Macaca fascicularis: one gene and its partners. The main gene of each other region encodes a partner of the protein of the gene in region 3 in a complex. Links are inferred from orthologs where the notes say so. Each region holds a gene or a part of one and is shown on either strand. Other genes may lie near its edges. The genes, in order: GTF2A1, GTF2H4 and POLR2E.

What was found.
Region 1: POLR2E (region 3) and GTF2A1 share a complex: the UniProt entries of both Homo sapiens proteins name them as parts of the TBP-based Pol II pre-initiation complex. The link is inferred for Macaca fascicularis from reciprocal best matches to the Homo sapiens genes POLR2E and GTF2A1.
Region 2: POLR2E (region 3) and GTF2H4 share a complex: the UniProt entries of both Homo sapiens proteins name them as parts of the TBP-based Pol II pre-initiation complex. The link is inferred for Macaca fascicularis from reciprocal best matches to the Homo sapiens genes POLR2E and GTF2H4.

What each region holds. Positions count from the first base shown.
Region 1 is NC_088381.1:149,163,844-149,167,489, forward strand, and holds part of GTF2A1 (transcription initiation factor IIA subunit 1), read right to left. Parts: coding exon 3,599-3,646; intron 2,438-3,598; coding exon 2,304-2,437; intron 1-2,303. UniProt on the Homo sapiens protein: TFIIA is a component of the transcription machinery of RNA polymerase II and plays an important role in transcriptional activation. TFIIA in a complex with TBP mediates transcriptional activity.
Region 2 is NC_088378.1:141,754,836-141,758,581, reverse strand, and holds the start of GTF2H4 (general transcription factor IIH subunit 4), read left to right. Parts: upstream 1-988; 5' UTR 989-1,185; intron 1,186-1,508; 5' UTR 1,509-1,514; coding exon 1,515-1,619; intron 1,620-1,807; coding exon 1,808-1,947; intron 1,948-2,208; coding exon 2,209-2,313; intron 2,314-2,700; coding exon 2,701-2,832; intron 2,833-3,418; coding exon 3,419-3,515; intron 3,516-3,606; coding exon 3,607-3,695; intron 3,696-3,746. UniProt on the Homo sapiens protein: Component of the general transcription and DNA repair factor IIH (TFIIH) core complex, which is involved in general and transcription-coupled nucleotide excision repair (NER) of damaged DNA and, when complexed to CAK, in RNA transcription by RNA polymerase II.
Region 3 is NC_088393.1:1,666,064-1,669,809, reverse strand, and holds the start of POLR2E (DNA-directed RNA polymerases I, II, and III subunit RPABC1), read left to right. Parts: upstream 1-1,066; 5' UTR 1,067-1,111; coding exon 1,112-1,168; intron 1,169-2,356; coding exon 2,357-2,531; intron 2,532-3,746. UniProt on the Homo sapiens protein: DNA-dependent RNA polymerase catalyzes the transcription of DNA into RNA using the four ribonucleoside triphosphates as substrates.

The DNA of each region.
Region 1 (3,646 bases), on a different chromosome or scaffold from region 3:
CAAGGAATGCAAAAATAAGACACAGAATTTCCTTTAAAACGCTTACACATGGTGTAACAGCACAAAAGACAAAAAAAAAAAGGTAAAATAGACAAAGCACTAACAACTCAAACAGAGACAAGACGTAGTACAAATATGACATAGTGTTATGGGAACACAAGAGAGTGTACCAAATTCAACTTGGGGGACAAAGCATGATCAAATATTACTTATATTATTAGTAAATAATATTTGAGTTTCTGTTTGTGCTTAAAAGCAGCGATCCCCAACCCCTGTTAGAAACCGGGCTGCACAGCAGGAGGTGAGTGGTGGATGAGCCAGCATTACCATCTGAACTCTGCCTCCTGTCAGATCAGCGGCAGCATGGGATTCTCATAGGAGCAGGAACCCTACTGTGAACTGCACATGCAAGGATGGAGGTTGTGCACTCCTTACACCTGATGGTCTGAATTAAAATTTCATCCTGAACCCATCCCCGCTGCCCAGTACGTGGAAAAGCTGCCTTCCGCAAAACCAGTCCCTGGTGTCAAAAAGCTGGGGGACCGCTGCTTTAAGGAGATTAGCCAGGTTTTTCTATTTGTTTAGGGGAAGTGCAGGGAGTTGCCAGACGGCATTCTTAAGAGATGCGTAACATCAAGTGAAACCCAGAAGTGAAAGCAGTACATAATTTTGGAAAGATGTAAATAAACTGGATTAATATTACTGATCTGATCTTGTCTCTATCGTCATACTATTTTACTGACATTTAAAAAAGAGACAGACACATAAACAAATAAAGTACATAAGTTCCTCAAGAAAATAACCATTCCTCTTTCATTTTAGTGCTCACAGCACAAGAATATAACACAAGTAGATCCAAGTGTTTATTTTGATGTAAATGCAGCTAAAGAAAATACCTGGGAGTATGGCAAGAAATAAACCTGAAGACTTCAAAGAAACAAGATCCACAAAAAGATCTTATAAACCATGTTGAGTTGTTTAGGCTTTTCTCAGTAGGCAATGAAAAGTTGTTAAAAGGTTTTAAGATTTTTAGAAAGACAGGCCAGGCGCAGTGGCTCATGCCCATAATCCCAGCACTTTGGGAGGCCAAAGCAGGCAGATCACCTGAAGTCAGGAGTTCAAGGCCAGCCTAGCCACCATGGCGAAAGTCCGTCTCTATTAAAAATACAAAATTTAGCTGGGCGCAGTAGTGCGTGCCTATAATCCCAGCTACTCAGGAGGCTAAGCAGGAGAATCGCTTGAACCCAGGAGGCGGAAGTTGCAGTGAGATGAGATTGTGCCATTGCACTCCAGCTTACGCGACAGAGCGAGACTCTGTCTCAAAAAAAAAAAAAAAGATGGCTATAAATCAGCCAGGTTAGGAGGGCATAAGATGAGAGGCAGAGAAACCATTAAGGAGACAATACAGCATTTACTGACAAATTATGGACACTATGAACTAAGGAAATGAAAAGAGAGGCTGAGAAAAAAAAAAAAACAGTGTCAAACATATTAAGGGACTGCAACCATGGCAAAACTGCAGTTAAAGAAAAAAAAAGGCCGCGTACAGTGGCTCACGCCTGTAATTCCAGCACTTTGGGAGGCCAAGGCGGGTAGATCACAAGGTCAGGAGACCATCCTGGCTAACATGGTGAAACCCCGTCTCTACTAAAAATACAAAAAATTAACCGGGCGTGGTGGTGGGCACCTGTAGTCCCAGCTACTCGGGAGGCTGAGGCAGGAGAATGGCATGAACCCAGGAGGCAGATGCTGCAGTGAGCCAAGACTGCGCCACTGCACTCCAGCCTAGGTGAAAGAGCAAGACTCCATCTCAAAAAAAAAAAAAAAAAAGAAAAGAAAAGAAAAACTATTAACAAGAATTGGTAGGGCTTGATACCTTGGATATTAGAGGTAAGGAAAAGGGAGAATTCTACACAACCAGTTCCAGAAAACAGAGTAAGCACCATAAAACTAGAGTCATGTCTGCCTCATTCACTCCTAAATCTCATGACCCTTATAAATAGCCCGAGACTCAGTAACTGCTTATTGAATAAAGGCCGAATGAACAGCTTAGAAGGCTGGAAGGAGAGTGCTGCCACCTTTGAGGGGATGATGAAGGATGGGCACAGACAACAGTAATTTTTTAATACATGTTTAATACATGTTGAATCTAAGTTAAGCTGTATACAGGAGAAATTAGAAACAACTGGGTCTATAGCACTGAAGAACAGTCTTTTGTGCATATAAGAAGAGGGAAAGTACCCAGGGAATACATACAGAAGAAAACAGAACCCCATACTGATCATAATAGAAGATTATTTTACCTGCTGTATAACAGGAGCTTGTACTCCACCAGGCTGCATCTGTGGTATAACCTGTTGTTGTAGAACCACTGACTGCTGAGGCTGAAAGATATATTGGGCACCATTGGCTGCTCTGACCACCTGAAGAAGCTGGCCTAAAGCAAAAAGCATGCATTCCAAGTTATCATTTTAGCAGTGACCATCTCAAAAGAAATGAATTCATATTTACTTTCATACCACCAAAGGCACAAGAAATTATCAAGAAAACTGACAATTTTATTAAAGACTATCATTCATACACAGTATGCATAATCCTCCCCTTCTCTGACTTCTCGCCATGTTCAAATACATTCCTTAAAATGTTTTATTTTTTATATTTACATCCTCATTCAGCTATTTCCAACAAGGTTTTAACAACAGATTATGAGACTTGACTAAAGCTTACATTATCTTTGCTAACCTTAGGAGTCAAGAAAGAGCAATAAGATCAGACACTTTAGGAGCTGTTCATTTTTAAAGTTTTAAAGGAACAAAAGCTTAATAGCTCATTTAATATCTTGAACCAAACAAAGTACCACAGAACTTTGCTTCAAAATTGGTAAAAGCAATAAAAGTTCGCTAACCAGTTATCATCATACAATTCACACAGAATCAAATTCCCTCAATATGTTCCTTTAGATGACCCAGAATCTTGAATTGATTAAAAAGCAAATTACATCTTATTAAACATGTAGCAAGATAAGCCCCTAATTTCACAAATTTACAATAACAAAAATAACATACATACATAGAATAGAAAATAAATAATAACTATATAATCAAGATGACAGGGGACACTTAAAATCCATGTAAATAAATTTTTCAAGTACTAATATGCCAAAACACATGAGCTAGACATTGGTCTTTTGTCAATGAAGAGATACTATGTATAATAATAGCATACAATAAATTTGCTCTTAATATGCTCTAGGAATTACTTTCATATCACAAGTTCAAATAAGTTTAATACTCACTTGGCATGGTAAATGTGTTTAATAAAAAACTAAGTAAGCATTTTTATATAATCATACTTCAATAAGAGGGTTATCATGCACAGATCAAAGGTTCAAGTACAATCTGCATCTTCTTTACTGTATCCTCAACAACGATTACAGTTGTATGTGTTACAGCCCTCAAATAAAGTTATTTTAATAACCTAAACCAAATGGTAAAAGAAATATTAGTATTTTCTGTCCTTCAAAGAAGACAAAACCTAAGGGCTAGATAGTACAATTTTCTGAATTACATTTTAAAATGGTTCCATCATTCCTAATTACCTGAATTTGTTAATATCTGCTGAACAGGAGTCACACCTGCAGGGAGTG
Region 2 (3,746 bases), on a different chromosome or scaffold from region 3:
TTTGGGGAAATGTGTAGTTCTGGGTTTGGGTGAAGACCTCTGCCTTTCTCTGTAGTAGGTTCATAAATCAAATCACAGCAAACAGTCAGTGTCCTAAAAACTGAATTTATCTGGGTTTTCTAAGTAGACGGTTTGAGGAGTGGTGGAGAAAAAAATTTGAGAAGAAATTAAGATTTATTGAGTACTTACCGCCAAGTAAGGTGCACTGGATCATGTTAATCGTTAACTCGTGGAAACTCTCCGGAGTGTGTACGCTTTCTTTCTTTTTCCTTTTTCTTTTTTTTTTTTTTTTGAGATGGAGTTTCGCTCTTGTCGCCCAGGCTGGTGTGTAAGGGCATTGTCTTGGCTCGCTGCAACCTCCGCCTCTAGGGTTCAAGCGATTCACCTGCCTCAGCCTCCCGAGTAGCTGGGATTACAGGTGCCCGCCACCACGCCCGGCTAATTTTTGTATTTTTAGTTAAGACGGGATTTCACCATATTGGCCAGGCTGGTCTCGAACTCCTGACCTCGGGTGATTCGCCCGCCTTGGCCTCCCAAAGTGCAGGGATTACAGCAGTGAGTCACCGCGTCCGGCCCGGAGTGTGCATTATCCCAATTTTACGGGGAGTAATTGTGCTCACGGAATCCAGTTTTGTGGTCCCTAAGTCTAATCGGTTCACCACCAAGTCGCCATAGCGCGCCTCCGCACGGAAGCCCTCCAGGCACTTCTACTTTCCCCGACCCGCCTCCCGCTCCATCCGGTTACATGCGCCGTTAGCAGCGTGGGCGGAGTTGGTTCTGGCAGAACCAACTGGTCCGGCTTCTGGTGTCTCCCGCTCTCTCAATTAAAAGCCGGCTCCTTGCCTTTCGGCTTCCCCACCGTGCCTTTCGGGATTTGTAGTCAGACGCACTTCAGCCGGCTCTAAGGAGAGCAAAGACAAGACTCCAATTCCCAGCATCCCCCGCGCCGGGAGTGTGCACCGTCTATTCTAATCCTCTTCACTTTTCCACTCCTCCCCTTACCTCCCTTCTCTTCTGAATTCTCCATTCTGGGCTCTTGCCTGTGAAATCTTTCGTCGCTTTCCCCATCTTTTCTTCGCATTTTTTCACCATCTTTCCCTCAGTTTCCAGGAGCCAATGCGAGACTTTGGCTCCGATTAAGCGACGGCCCGAGACTCGGGGTGCGCGAGGAGGATCGACAGAGTGGTGAGGGGACCTAGGAGGGCGGGAGTGGCAGAGGTATGAGAGAGACAGGTGAGTGAGAGGCGAGGAGTGGGAGGAAGGCAGGGAGAAGCTAGGAGATCGGAAGGCGTGGGTCAGGGTGAATGGCGTGAACTAGACTTGGGAAGGGAAAAGAGGTGGCTTTAGATTTGGGAAGCATGGAGGGGAGAGGTTACCGCCGTACTTAGCAGAAGTGGGCTAAGAGATAGAAGATAGGAAGTTCGGGTAGATTTGGAGCTTATAGACTGATCTGACCAGGAGGGATGGAAGAGAGAGGTGTGGGCTCAATTTTCTTTGTCTCTGTTTAGCCAAAGATGAGACAAGTCATTGAAATACAAAATGATCTTGCAAACACAGGACAGTTGACAATTCTGTCACTTGGAGCAGAGGAAAGACTGGAGTTGAAGGGCAGAAACAGGGTGAGGAGGCAAGAAAGGGACGGAGATTGGTCAGGTTTTTGAGAAACCAGAGGAATTGAGTGTCATGGGAAAGGAGGCCACAGAAAAGGTGGGGTTATTGTGGGGACTGATGGATCTGGAATCAGAAAGGTCAGGGGTGACACTGGCATGGATGGTGGGGGTGCGCTTCTGATGTTTGCATTCCTCAGGTGATGGAGAGCACCCCTTCAAGGGGACTGAACCGAGTACACCTACAATGCAGGAATCTGCAGGAATTCTTAGGGGGCCTGAGCCCTGGGGTATTGGACCGATTATATGGGCACCCTGCCACTTGTCTGGCTGTCTTCAGGTGAGGATCCCCTTCATGGCAGGGAAATGTAATGGGGTCTGCGGACTGGAATAAAATATAACAGGTAAAAGTGTAGCAGGCTGGGGTAGGGGTGGGGACTGGGGGTGCGGGTTGGAAATTGCTCCAAAGTGTGGGGGCCAAAACAGCAGGACTGGTAAAGTTGTGGTGGAGTGAGATGAGATGTTTGAGAGTTAATTGAGGGCAGAGATGCAGATACAATGCAGCTTCTGATATTAACCTTTGACCTCTGTCCCTGTTCAGGGAGCTCCCATCCTTGGCTAAGAACTGGGTGATGCGGATGCTCTTTCTGGAGCAGCCTTTGCCACAAGCTGCTGTAGCCCTGTGGGTAAAGAAGGAATTCAGCAAGTAAGTCTCAGCCAGATACAAATTTCTCAACAGCTACATTTCCCAAACTACTGTTCCTTGGAGCACTTCCAGGACGTATTAATAGGTATATCACAAAACTTAAAAATAAATACATTTGGGAAACTCTGCATACTGCCTTTTCCCTTTTTTTATTTCCCAGCTGACCTCTTGCTTTCAGATGTATCTTCCCTCTTACAGAGTTATGTGTGATATCTGTAATAAGGCTCTGATAGGTAATGCAGTAAAGAATTTGTCTTCAGATACTAATATCACTCTGTGGAACAGTGTTCCAAGAATCAGCAAGTTCAGAACAGGCAGAGAGGTGGCTTTTATGGTCCTCCTTTTTGTTCTCCAAATACCCTGCTCACCTCTCTGCTTCTGTTCCAGGGCTCAGGAGGAAAGTACAGGGCTGCTGAGCGGCCTCCGGATCTGGCACACCCAGCTGCTCCCAGGCGGGCTCCAGGGCCTCATCCTCAACCCCATTTTCCGCCAGAACCTCCGCATTGCCCTTCTGGGTGGGTATGTCACTTCTCTCTCTTCCTAAGCTAGGGCAGGGGAACTGCTGCTTATTAAACCGCTAATTACAGTTTGGGAGGGGGAGCTCCTGGGGGCCTCCCCGGAACCTTGTGGTCTCCGCATTGGGAGCTCCTTTAGGAGTAAGTTGGATCAGCTGCAGTGTGTGGTGTAGGAAATGTCCCCTACTCATGGCCCCTGAGGATAAGGGTGGAAAGATGGCAGAAGGGTGGCAAGGAACACAGACAGGGTTCCTTACTCTTTTTTTGTTGTTTTGTTTTGTGTGTTTTTGAGACAGAGTCTCGCTCTGTCACCCAGGCAGAGTGCAGTGGTGCGATCTTGGCTCAATGCAGCCTCCACCTCCTGGGTTCAAGTGATTCTCCTGCCTCAGCCTCCTGAGTGACTGGGATTACAGGCAACCACCAGCTAATTTTTTGTATTTTTTGTAGAGATGGGGTTTCACCATGTTGGCCAGTCTGGTCTCAAACTCCTGACCTCAAGTGATCCGCCCATCTTGGCCTCCCAAAGTACAGGGATTACAGGTGTGAGCTCCTGGCCAGGGTTCCTTACTCTTGGCCCATCCTGGCCTTAGGGGGAAGGCCTGGTCTGATGACACAAGTCAGCTGGGACCAGACAAGCATGCCCGGGATGTTCCCTCCCTTGACAAGTATGCCGAGGAGCGATGGGAGGTAAGCACTTGGGACTGTGTGTGTCTCTGCTTGTGCTTCTACTTCCCATGGCCCTTGGGGCATGGTCTCCCTGTTCTCTTCTGTTCTTCAGGTGGTCTTGCACTTCATGGTGGGCTCCCCCAGTGCAGCTGTCAGCCAGGACTTGGCTCAGCTCCTCAGCCAGGCTGGGCTCATGAAGAGGTGAGGAAACCGGAGGTATAGCAGCTCTCTGCAGTGCCATCTCCTTGGGTC
Region 3 (3,746 bases):
TTTATTGAGACAGAGTCTCACTCTGTGGCCCAGGCTGGAATGCAGTGGCGCGATCTCGGCTCACTGCAACCTCCCCCTTCCAGGTTCACGAGATTCTCCTGCGTCAGCCTCCCGAGTAGCTGAGACTACGGGCACCTGGCCCAGCTAATTTTTTGTATTTTTAGTAGAGATGGGGTTTCACCGTGTTAGCCAGGATGGTCTCGATCTCCTGATCTCGTGATCTGCCCACCTCAGCCTCCCAAAGTGCTCGGATTACAGGCATGAGCCACTGCGCCCAGTAACGTTATTTTACTAAATCCTGTCTCTGAATGCAAGGGATACCTGGCCTGTTTTTATTCACCATCACTGTAGGTTGCTGAGTAAATGCTGAATTAATGAATGCGTCACTGAGTCAGTGACTGATTGCCTTCACACAGCGAGTGCTGGGCTGGGATCCTCCGTGAATCTGGGGAGGTGAGGTTTGCAAAGACAGGACGGATCTGGGGTGGGGAGATACCCAGGCTAGGCTGGCACTCAGGGGAGAGGACAGAGGTGAAGGGACTTAAAAAGCACCTAGAGATATGCCTAGCTCTACCTAAGACTCTCAGTTAACCGCCTAAAGTAGGGACACTTTTTGCCATTGCACAGGTAGGGAAACTGAGGCCCAAGGGCATTAACCCTGACCTGGCCTGGAGCCAACAGAGGAAACCCTGTACAGTTTGATGCACAAATATGTATAGAGTTCCCACTAGGCTCCCCGACCGTCCCTAGGAGCCGAGCTGCCCCTTTACCCATTCCAGGCCTCAGTTTCCCCGCCCACACTTCGCCCCCGCCTTATGGGATTCTAAACTGTCCCCGCAACGTGGGAGTTGAACGGAAACTACAACTCCCAAGAGGCCGTGCAGCCAAAGACACACGAGAACTACGGAGGGAGAGTCTCGCGCAGCAAACTGCCGTTCTCGCAAGGCTCGGGCTGCCCTTGGCGCTGCCGATCCCGGAAGTTGCTGCATTCAGGCGTTCGCCGACGACAGCCCATCGCGGGGCGGGGTTACGTGGAGGGGGCCTGATTGGGAGTCGGCGCAGGCGCAGTCCGCGCGGGTTCTCGCAGGCAAAACGGGTGCGAGTGGCGGCGATGGACGACGAGGAGGAGACGTACCGGCTCTGGAAAATCCGCAAGACCATCATGCAGGTGAGCCGCGCGTGGTGTTGGGGGCGGGGGCGCGAGCAGCAGGTGCAGGGGCCCGAGGGGAGGTCGAGCTCGGCGTCTCCTCGTACTCCCGTCGCAGCAGCAGCAGCGACGGAGGGCCCGGCCGACACGGGAGACCCCGAGGCCGCCGGGGATCCCAGGCGCTGGGCCCGACCTGAGCCGGCAGCGGGGAAGGGAGGGGGTTTCGAGACGTCTGGGTGCGGGGCTTAGCGGTGGGCGGGCGGCTTGGGCTGGTGCGGCGCACATGGCGGCGAGAGGAGGAAGGTGCGAATGGGGACGGGGGGCGCCCCCAGACCCTGCCCCACTCTGTGATTCAGCGTCGCCATTTGTCCTTGCGCCCTGAACCCCAGGGCGTCTCAGCATCCGAGGCTGGCGGAGTTGGTGGTTGGGAAGCAGCAGGCGAGCTGGGGCTTTCGATGGGGACGTGGAGCCCGGAACCCGTGCCTCGGGGTCTGAGACAGATGGAGGCCACTGGGCCGACTCCGGTTTGGAAACTGGGCAAATGTCTGAGGGCCTGCGGTTCAGGGTCCTCCCTCAGCCGTTGGGGCCGTTTGGGAGCTTTTGTTTTGTCTTGCTTCCCCACCCTATGCCCTTGTCTTTAGCGCAGCCCCCCGCAGCCTGATTCTCCTTCCTCCGGGCCGCAAACATTGTCAGCCTGAAGTCACATCTGTTTCGGTCCCTGTCTTTTTTTTTTTTTTTTTTAAGAGACAAGCTCTCACTCTGTCGCCCAGGCTGCAGCGCAGTGGTGCAGTCATAGCTCACTGCATCCTTGAACTCCTGGCCTCAAGCAGCCCTCCTGCCTCGGCCTCCCTGAGCTCTGGGGTCGCGGACGTGACCCCCCACGCCCCGTCTTTGTCCCTGTCTTTAGGGTAGCTCTGCAAAGTGGTTTGGAGGGCTTTGCCCCCTGCCAGGTTCCTGTGAGGCTGGATAGACGGACGGTCTTGGTCAAGGCTGGACACCTCTGCGAGCCTCTCGGGATCACGCTGGTCCCATCCTGTGGTGTGGGGCTGTGGGGGCCAGGATGGCTGTCATGGGGCACACAGCGAGTGTTCATTCCGTTTGCTGTTCACCTCTGTCCTCTGCAGCAGCCGCAGGTCTGACTTCTGGGTCACGAGCTCTGGCCGCCTTCCTGTCTCTGCCCTGGGGTCAGCTGGTTCTTTCTCTCTGCAGCTGTGCCACGACCGTGGCTACCTAGTGACCCAGGACGAGCTTGACCAGACACTGGAGGAGTTCAAAGCCCAATTTGGAGACAAGCCGAGTGAGGGGCGGCCGCGGCGCACTGACCTCACCGTGCTGGTGGCCCACAACGATGACCCCACCGACCAGATGTTTGTGTTCTTTCCAGGTGAGCAGCGGGTCCCCGGGGGAGTTCTGGTGGAGCCGCCCGAGCACCTGCTGAGGAGCCGGCCGCTAGCACCCCCTCCCTCCCGCCTCGTGCCCAGCGTTTGATCCTCTGCCCAATCTGGGAGGAAAACTTCCCCTCCTCTTCCTTGCTGTGGGCGATGCCGTGGACCTCTGACCCCTCTCATGCGCAGCCTCTTTCTGGTTTCCCTCTCATCGGTCCCCTTTCTTCCTGCCAACCAGGAGAGTCCCATGGACCTCCCTACTCACCCGCAGCCCCTCATGACCTTTGCCCTACCTGTGTTCCTTGGCTCCCTCATCCTGGCCGTTGGGTGCACTTCCAACTTCTTGGCCTGGCCCAGGAGGCCCCGTGTGGGTCAGCGCAGCCTCCTTGTGAGCTGTGGCCCCTGTCTGCCCCAGCCCATTCCTCTGCACCCCATGCCGCCTCTGCCCTGTCAGCGTCCGCTACTCATCCCTCGAGGTTGTGCTCAGGCCGCTTTTCCCGGGACCCCTGGGACCCTCGGTTTCAGCACCTGCACCGTGGAAGTCTCCCCACCTGTCTGCCCCCCCAGGATGGCTCTAGCGCCCTCAGTGGTTGGGGGACTACCAGCGCCTAGGGACACAGCCGCGTGCCCAGAATTAATCAGTGGGGTGGACGGAGCGTGTCTGCCAAGCGGGTGATGCTACTGCTTTTTTTTTTTTTGAAAGTCTCATTCTGTCACCCAGGCTGAAGTGCAGTGGTGCCATTTCGGCTCGCTGCAGCCTCCACCTCCTGAGTTCAAAATTCTCCTGCCTCAGCTTCCTGAGTAGCTGAGACTGCAGGCACCCACCACCATACCTGGCTTTTTTTTTTTTTTTTTTGTATTTTTGGTAGAGAGGGGGTTTCACCATGTTGGCCAGGCTGCTTTCAAACTCCTGACTTCAGGTGATCTGCCTGCCTCGGCCTCCCAAAGTGCTGGGATTACAGGCGTGAGCCACCGCGCCCGGTCTTCTTCTTGTTCTTTTTTTTTTGAGGCTGAGTCTCTCTCTCTGTCGCCCAGGCTGGAGTGCAGTGGCGCAATCTCGGCTCACTGCAACCTCCACCTCCTGGGTTGAAGCAATCCTCCCACCTCAGCCTCCCACAAAAAGCTAGGTTTACAGGCATACACCATCTCACCTGGCTACTTTTACTTTTTTTAGTAGTGTTTATTTATTTGTTTATTTGGTTTTTTGAGACGGA